Linked DNA regions of Saccharomyces cerevisiae S288C. The gene in region 1 interacts genetically with each later gene. Each region holds a gene or a part of one and is shown on either strand. Other genes may lie near its edges.

Region 1 (4,751 bases):
ATGGTACTTTTTCGCCTAATGTTTGAAATATCTGGTAAATATTCTCACCAGTCTTAGCGCTTGCTTCGAAATATAAGAGGTTCTCTCTTTCACAGAGATTTTGTACAGCTGGTGCTTTCATAGCCCTATTTTCATTCTCGTCATCATTATTCAGCAAATCCATTTTGTTCCCCACCAAGGCAATAACGATATCATGTCCTACCTTCTCGTGTAGTTCTTCGACCCAGTTTTGAGCCTTATAAAAAGACCCTTCATTAGTAACATCAAAAACTACCAAAGCAGCTTGAGCATTTCTGTAGTACATAGGCGCTAAAGGAGCAAATCTCTCCTGGCCTGCCGTATCCCATATTTCAAATTTAATGACCTTGCCATCCCTTGTAATTCTCTTTGTTAAAAATGCGGCACCAATAGTAGGTTCTTTGCTCTCTTTAAAATCGTCAGATACAAACCTGAGGACTATTGAGGACTTCCCGACAGCAGATTCTCCGAGTAAGACTACTTTGATAGTTAATGTTGGAATAGCTGCTGTATGTTTATCCATTCTACTTAACTTCGATGCTGAAAAAATGTAATAAATAATTTGAATCTAACTCTATTTGGTCAATATACGTGCATTCAGAAGGCCTTTCCCGACTTATAATATGACAATATTTAATAAATTCTACGGATTTATTTTATTTACATGGGAAGAGGCTTTGCAGTTTAAGGACCCCTTCCGCCCCGGAAATTGACATTTTAGGGTATGGTTGGTCACCAAGGCGTACGCGATAATCAGTTGGAATGGAAAGATAAACTGAGTTTAGGGTATTTTGTAAGAGTGTATTTGATCGGCAACCGAAGATTTTCTTTACTCTTGACTTCATAAAATTTACATATTTACATTTAGCCCTTCTATAACCGTTTTTTTAATTTCCCGATCTGATGAAAAGGATGCAACATCACTCTAAAACGTTGAAAATGGCTCCAATTCATAAGGTCACTTTAGTGTATACAATTTTTAAACTCCCTCCCGATGTATATAAATAACAGTGTATTTAGTTTGAATACTTCTCCCTAATTCTGCGAATACTGTCTTCCAAACTTAATGCCGGATCCGAAAAGAACATCAATGTGGTGTCTTGATTGCTCAATTTTTGAATTGAGTCCATTACTCTTCTCTTCCATTCATCTGCTTTTTTATCCATGAAAGCACCATACATGCCATAGTCATTTTGTGAGGATGGTACATAGTAAGTATTAGCGTCTAAGTTAGGTAACTGTCTGTTCGGCAACGGTGGTGGGGCAACTCTTTTAGCATTGTTCTCATCTTTATTACGGCGTGACATTCTTATACTTTCGGTTTGCTCTTCTGTCAACGATGGCTTTTGAGTGGAAGGAATGGGAGGTGGTGGTGGTCTTCTCCTGGTACGTACGGTAGACTTGGTCATTTGCATGGGCCGTTGTTGTAATTCGATGATATTGTTCACTTCATTCATAACTTCTTCATCATGCGATGGGACATCACTCATGGAATTAGAGCAACATCTTATATAAATAGCCAGAATCTGGTTCGGAAATTGTAAAGCCGTAGTGGTATACGCTTCTAAGTCATGTTCACCAGAATCACCGACCAAAATAAATTTTTTTTTGGGAAAATCCTTTAAGATATTTGCAATCGGCTGAATTTTTCTATTCGCACTTGAAGTCATGATAGTGGAAAAGAAATTACCAGAGTATTGTTTCAAAAAAATTGGACCCGGAGGAAAATTGGCGCAAATATATTGTTTCAAAAGAGTAAAAGTTTGGATGGGTGAATTAGAAACATAAAAGAAATCAACGTCTGCGACATCATGTAAAGTTTTGTACCAAAGAGGAACACCATCTATTACCCACGATTGAACATCATGGATGAAAACATTACGAAACATCGATCTCCTGTCACCCGTAACGCCAGTATGCTTGATGGTGTCGTCAATATCACTGATTAAACCAATACCGTAGGGCGAGACATAATTGGCCGGAAATGTTTCAGATATGGGATCTGCATGGCCTTCTATAGGGGTATCTAATGTAATATTAATCTTGGACGGTAAAAAATCTGTTTCTGCCTTGATTAGTAAATTACCATAAGAGTCCGTGGTACCAAAAAAGGAAGCCGTATCCCCTCTGAGCTTATCTTTGGGCAATAGGTCAACCACCACTGGAGTATTAGGAACTTTTTTGGACAGGAATCCTTGAATTCTCTCATTCAGAACATCTTCCTCTTGGATGCCCATATGTGAATACCTATTTTCGCTCTTTGAAGACAAAGAACTTTCTATACTTGATTGGGAGTCGTTTAAATCTCCAGAATCCTCTTCGAGATGAGGGGGAACAACAGGTGCAACATCGGCCTCCGCCGTTCCAGTTCTAAGATATTGTTTACAAAGAGAAAGCAACCACCTATTTCTCCTGCTTGTAGGATTTCCTGGATAAGAAACAGCACATCTGACAGTAGTTTCAAAATCTTTCCGAGGCGCACTCAAACCGTCAGGGTCAACCAAATTAGTTGTGGTATACGTTGGAAAATATGTTATCGTGGTATTATGTGGCAATTCCATAGGCAAGTCATTATAACCTTCGAAGGAATTCGTAGTGCTCCTGATGCCATCCATTGTCTTTTGAGAAATGGATGACGTCAGGTTAGGAATATAAACATCCTTTGTGGTTCTTATGAGATTCATAAACCGTTGTTTCTTACCCATTCGTGGGTCTCCAGAAGTAGGACCGCTAGTAGCAGCAGTAGAGGAAGAGCTTTCATCGTAACCTTGACTATTCATCTTTTTATTCCTTCTCCAAAGCAATTTTTTCCCCCTTTGACGGAACTTATAGCCAAGTTTCAATGTCCTTGTCTGTGTTAATGGTCCCAAGAAAAGACGGCGATTACTAGACAAACTCTTTATAGCCAACAAACCGACAGAGCTAGAGAAACATATGACACTGTTTATTGAAAGCCTTGTGCAACCCACTATTTGCGATATATATGCCTTAATGATGCTAAATTTTTGCCCTGGATCACGAATAGTATAACAGCTTCGTATACTTTATGTCTCGTGGGCATAAAAAGCCAAGAAAAGATACACAAACCAATCACAATGAACAAGCTAACCGTAAAGGCGTTGCCACCCTATTCTAATGCTTTATCTGTCCGAGAATTGTTGGTAACCTCGTTTGGAAAGTTAGACCGCGCCCTCATCATCATTTGCGCGACCACGTGACCCGCTGCGGCTGCGGTTTGCGCGAAGGTTACAATATCTTCCTACTCGATGACTTTTAACCTTTGGATCAAGAGCACAACGTTCTGCCTGAACTCTTATGCTCATTTTGTGCATACAAGTTGCCTTTTTGTGCCATATTAGGATATATTGCCTTCTGAATAAAACTATTCAATTCTCATCACTTCCGCAGTTAGAGAACGCTTTTATGGCATATTGTTACAAATCATCGCTAAAAAAGATATAAACAGTGACTAATTAGCGTCAGCGCAATTTTTTTGGAGAAGTTATAGAATCAAACAGAGAAAGGGATTGAAACCTCAAATTTTCATCAGATGGTGCACATTACTCTGGGTCAAGCGATATGGGTGTCAGTTAAGCCGATAATCAAGATTTATTTGATTATAGGAGTCGGCTTTCTGATGGCTAAAATGGGAATTCTTACGGTTGAAGCAACAAGAATTATTTCTGATATCGTGCTAACAGTTTTACTACCCTCTCTGTCATTCAACAAGATTGTCGCTAATATTGAAGATAAAGACATCAAATCTGTGGGAATTATCTGTCTGTCTGCCCTCCTAATATTTGGTTCTGGGTTCTTTTTTGCATACGTTGTTAGGCTATTCCTGCCTGTTCCTAAACAATGGTACGGTGGTATTCTTGCCGGTGGTATGTTTCCAAATATAAGTGATTTACCAATTGCATATTTACAATCTATGGACCAAGGGCTTGTATTTTCGGAAGAAGAAGGTAACAAAGGTGTGGCTAACGTCATTATATTTCTGACAATGTTTCTAATTTGCATTTTCAATTTGGGGGGGTTTCGACTGATTGAAAGCGATTTCGAGTACAACGACGATGAAAGCGCCGTTAGGGTTTCAGAAACGACAAAGACACAGCCCGCAGTAAGTGCAAACACAACTAATACAGATACTAGCGAGCGTTTCTTCTCAAACGAACAACAGCTTTTCAACAATAAGTACACCGCTCGCGATAGTCTCACTGAAGCTATAGGTACAAAGGGTGAAAACGCAGACGTACCACCAATTTCAAGGAGATCAACAAATAGTATAGCTCCCCTGTCACTACCAGACACTTCTTCGAATTCAAAGATTACAAAACCAGTTCAGGTGAAGGCAAGAAATACTATTGCGTGCACTCAAAGCGAAGAGTCACAGGCAACTCGTGGTTCAAATCCATTAGATAGCCAATCATCTGCTTCAACAATACATTCTTATAATACGTCAGAGAGTTATGAGAGTAGCATAGATACTATGAGAGCACGTAGAACCGCGAGCCAGCCGAGAGCTTACAATACTACCACACTCCTAGAAGAGAACTGTTTAGATGAAAAATGCCCAAAAAATATGTCTATGGCGGCATTGGAACCTATCCGCTCCATTGATATGCGTGCATTACCTTCTCAAAATATACACCATCTTATCAGAGAGTACTCCAACGTTGACCAGTATGGTCATCAAAGGAGGAATTCCAGTTTACGCGGCGCTGATATGAATG
Region 2 (3,491 bases), on another chromosome or scaffold:
CATGTTGTTCCTCATCCTCATTTTCATTAAAGTTCACTCGTTGACCTAACAATCCCGCAAAGAATTCATCGATTTGGTCGTCTGACCATTTGTATCCGGATGTGATGGGGGCTTCATAATTCGCAATTGGATCTTGAACTGAGTAGTTCAATTTCCTACCCTTGGAAGCCTTAGTATCGATATTCTTCTTTAGCTTGTTGTTCGAACGAGCATTAGTTGAGGTGATTGTAATTGCTGCACTTTCAGAATTGTGAGCGTTGGAAATCTTTTTGTCAATTAAATCGTTTAGTAAAACACGGTAAAAATCTTCGTCATCAAAAACATATGGGTTTTCGGTAATGTCAATGGCATTGTTATCCTTTCTTCTTGGGTCATAGTTTTTCGGGATATCAAGCCCATCATCCGAATTCTCATTGTCATCAACACTATCTTTGACAACGGGAGAAATCAATTCTGGTAGCCTGCCATTAGCACAGTCTTTTTGGAAATACAAAGGCGTTATGTTTCTCCTGTTCAACTTTGTTCTTTTCATCAAACGGGACATATCGGATAATTGGTTTTCGACTTGTACATCTGCAGGTAAGTTGATAGCTTTGAATTTGTTAGATGATAAAGCAGCGTTACCTGATGCAGAAGAAACTTTGGTAGACCACTTGTTTAATACGGCAGTCCTGTACTCTTTTAGTTCTGAGTCTAAGCTATTAGTTTCTTGGTAAAGCTCTTTGAGAGATCTTTTTTTGGACAATTTATGCTTCGCCACCTCTTCATTTTGAGTGATATGATCGCCAAGTTGGAATTTTATTCTGAAATTTATCAACCGATTGAATAAATTATTGAACAGTTTTTCGTTTTCCTTCAGCAAACGCTTTGTTTCCTCTGAATCATCCATTTTAGCCTCTTCCCAGGACTCTGTAGTTAATGGGAGCTTATTTGCTGCAATTACAGCTTTTTGTAGTTTTATTCTCAAATCAATGATGTTGTCAAATAATTTTGTCTGTTGTAAAATGGAATAACCCTTCGAAGCATCTCTTTGAACTGATTGAGACAGTTTGTTAATAGCTTGTTTAGTCTCTTGTTGAATTAGTTTCGATAGTGCATGCCTTTTCTGTTGAGCCTCCTCCGTTTCACCGCCGTCCGCGTCTGATTCTTCTTCATCAATCTCTACTTCTTCATCTTCAGAATCTGTCCTGAATGAAAGAGCATCTTCCTCTTTTTCTTCTTCCTCTTCTTCTTCTTCTTCTTCGTCCTCATTCTCGGAAACTTCTTCATATAATGCTTGTCTTGAACCTTTAACACCTGTATATTTTGGATCGTTTAGTTCTAAACCTTTTTCTGCTCTTAACTTAGACTTTTCCACCTCCAAATAGTGCGCCTTCTTGGTTTCTTCTGTGTTGCTATTTCCATAGTCGCTTAAATCACTTTCTCCATTTTTTTCATTGTGTTGAAATAAAGATGCATTTTCCTCATCTTCAATATCGAAGTCTTTATTGACCGGTTTAATGGCGATATCGGAAATTTGATCCGCTAGTGATTTTTCCATCTTTTTTTGCTCTATATTTATTGGTAACAGTGCTTATTGTTACTCAATGTATGGTACGCTGCATACCTATCAAGATGCGACTACATATATACAATTATCTCATCTCATCGCGTATTGAAAAATTTTCCATCTTCTAATTTTTCAGAACCCATAAATTCGGGTAACGATCAGTGGAAAAAACTTAAATCCGCAGTAATAGGCTTGCAAAGGACCAAAGACAGCATATGCAGCAGTTAAGAAATCTAAGAATGCATTGTATATTAGAGTAGTATATGGAAAAGCTCGGACTGGGAGCCGTAAAATCTCTTTCCCGTAAGATCTGGCTGCAAACCTGGTCTACATAAATGTAGTACATTATAAGGGACTACCAAGAAATACGAAGCGCTCAGATATCTCTTAAAGTTCATTTTTTTGCCGGAATAATCTTGGTTTAGTAACTTATAAAACTACTTACGTCCAATAAATCGTTATATTTTATGCCGTCGTCATAAAGTGGACACTTTCGAGAGACGGTGCTGGCCAATAAGATGCTGATATTTGAAATATCATTTACCCGGGCCCGGGTGGGAAAAACAAGGAATTAAAGATAATGAAGTGATCTTTTGGCGAGATAGTAAAACTTTCAATTATCTAGGAACAATTTCAAACGCCAATTGTTAACTTTGTGTACAGTATTTCTAGTTTTTATCTCATTGAAAACAAAATTCAGTCAACTTGGAAATTTAAGCAGGCTACTGTGGCATTGAGATATTTTTCCGCAGAGTAAGAACCGATTAGCAAGTTACCGCATTATTTTTAAACCGTGGACAATCATGTTTAATAGAGTCTTTACCAGGTCATTTGCATCAAGCTTAAGAGCTGCTGCTTCCAAAGCTGCTGCTCCCCCACCGGTGAGATTGTTCGGTGTTGAGGGCACTTACGCAACAGCTTTATATCAGGCCGCTGCAAAGAACTCCTCTATTGATGCTGCCTTTCAATCTTTGCAAAAAGTTGAAAGCACAGTCAAAAAGAATCCAAAATTAGGTCACTTATTACTGAATCCTGCATTGTCATTGAAGGACAGAAATTCTGTCATTGATGCCATCGTGGAGACTCACAAGAATTTGGATGGTTATGTCGTTAACCTATTGAAGGTTCTTTCCGAAAATAACAGACTGGGATGTTTTGAAAAAATTGCGTCTGACTTTGGCGTTTTAAACGATGCTCACAACGGGTTACTTAAAGGTACAGTGACTAGTGCTGAACCATTGGATCCTAAATCTTTCAAGAGGATTGAAAAAGCTTTGAGCGCCTCCAAATTGGTGGGGCAAGGTAAATCTTTGAAGCTGGAAAACGTGGTTAAGCCAGAGATTAAGGGTGGTTTGATTGTAGAACTTGGTGACAAGACTGTTGACTTAAGCATTTCTACAAAGATTCAAAAACTGAATAAGGTCTTAGAGGACAGCATTTAACGTTAATAATATAGTTGGATATGCTCAACTCGTTTGATGTTACTTTCTTTGCCTCCCTCCTAATTTTTGATTCTGTTCAAATATATATTCTTTTCCGTGAATTTTTCCTAAACATCAAAATTACGTACATATACGAATAAATAAGAAACCCCTCTAAAAAGTGAATTTTTTTGTTCGAGACAACCATTTTAATCATATATATGTTCGTGTATCCAGGCAAACTTATATTAATCGCAAAAAAAAAAATTATAAGTGTATATATGGAATAAACATAAAAAATAATAAAAGAAGAAAAAAAAAAATAATGAAGAATTCTCATCAGTTTTCGAAGATTTCAAGAAAGTCCGAAGAACATTTAAGACCTTTTTGATAATTCAAGATGTGCATGCACAATAATAACCATTTCATAGTTGAATTTTGATGTATTCTTTCGTTACAAATCAAATATATAGTCAAAGTCACGCCTATACACTTAATAATATGTCTTGATGTATATAAAT

What was found.
Region 2: mutations in APP1 (region 1) and ATP5 together harm fitness more than expected from each alone (negative genetic interaction), as found in Saccharomyces cerevisiae (2 studies listed by BioGRID).

What each region holds. Positions count from the first base shown.
Region 1 is NC_001146.8:445,658-450,408, reverse strand, and holds APP1 (phosphatidate phosphatase APP1), read right to left. Parts: upstream 2,799-4,751; coding exon 1,035-2,798; downstream 1-1,034. Other genes in the region: Rab family GTPase YPT53, read right to left, coding at 1-541; YNL095C (uncharacterized protein), read left to right, coding at 3,569-4,751. UniProt on the Saccharomyces cerevisiae protein: Mg(2+)-dependent phosphatidate (PA) phosphatase which catalyzes the dephosphorylation of PA to yield diacylglycerol. May play a role in vesicular trafficking through its PAP activity at cortical actin patches.
Region 2 is NC_001136.10:1,057,676-1,061,166, reverse strand, and holds ATP5 (F1F0 ATP synthase subunit 5), read left to right. Parts: upstream 1-2,352; coding exon 2,353-2,991; downstream 2,992-3,491. Other genes in the region: rRNA-processing protein BFR2, read right to left, coding at 1-1,540. UniProt on the Saccharomyces cerevisiae protein: Mitochondrial membrane ATP synthase (F(1)F(0) ATP synthase or Complex V) produces ATP from ADP in the presence of a proton gradient across the membrane which is generated by electron transport complexes of the respiratory chain.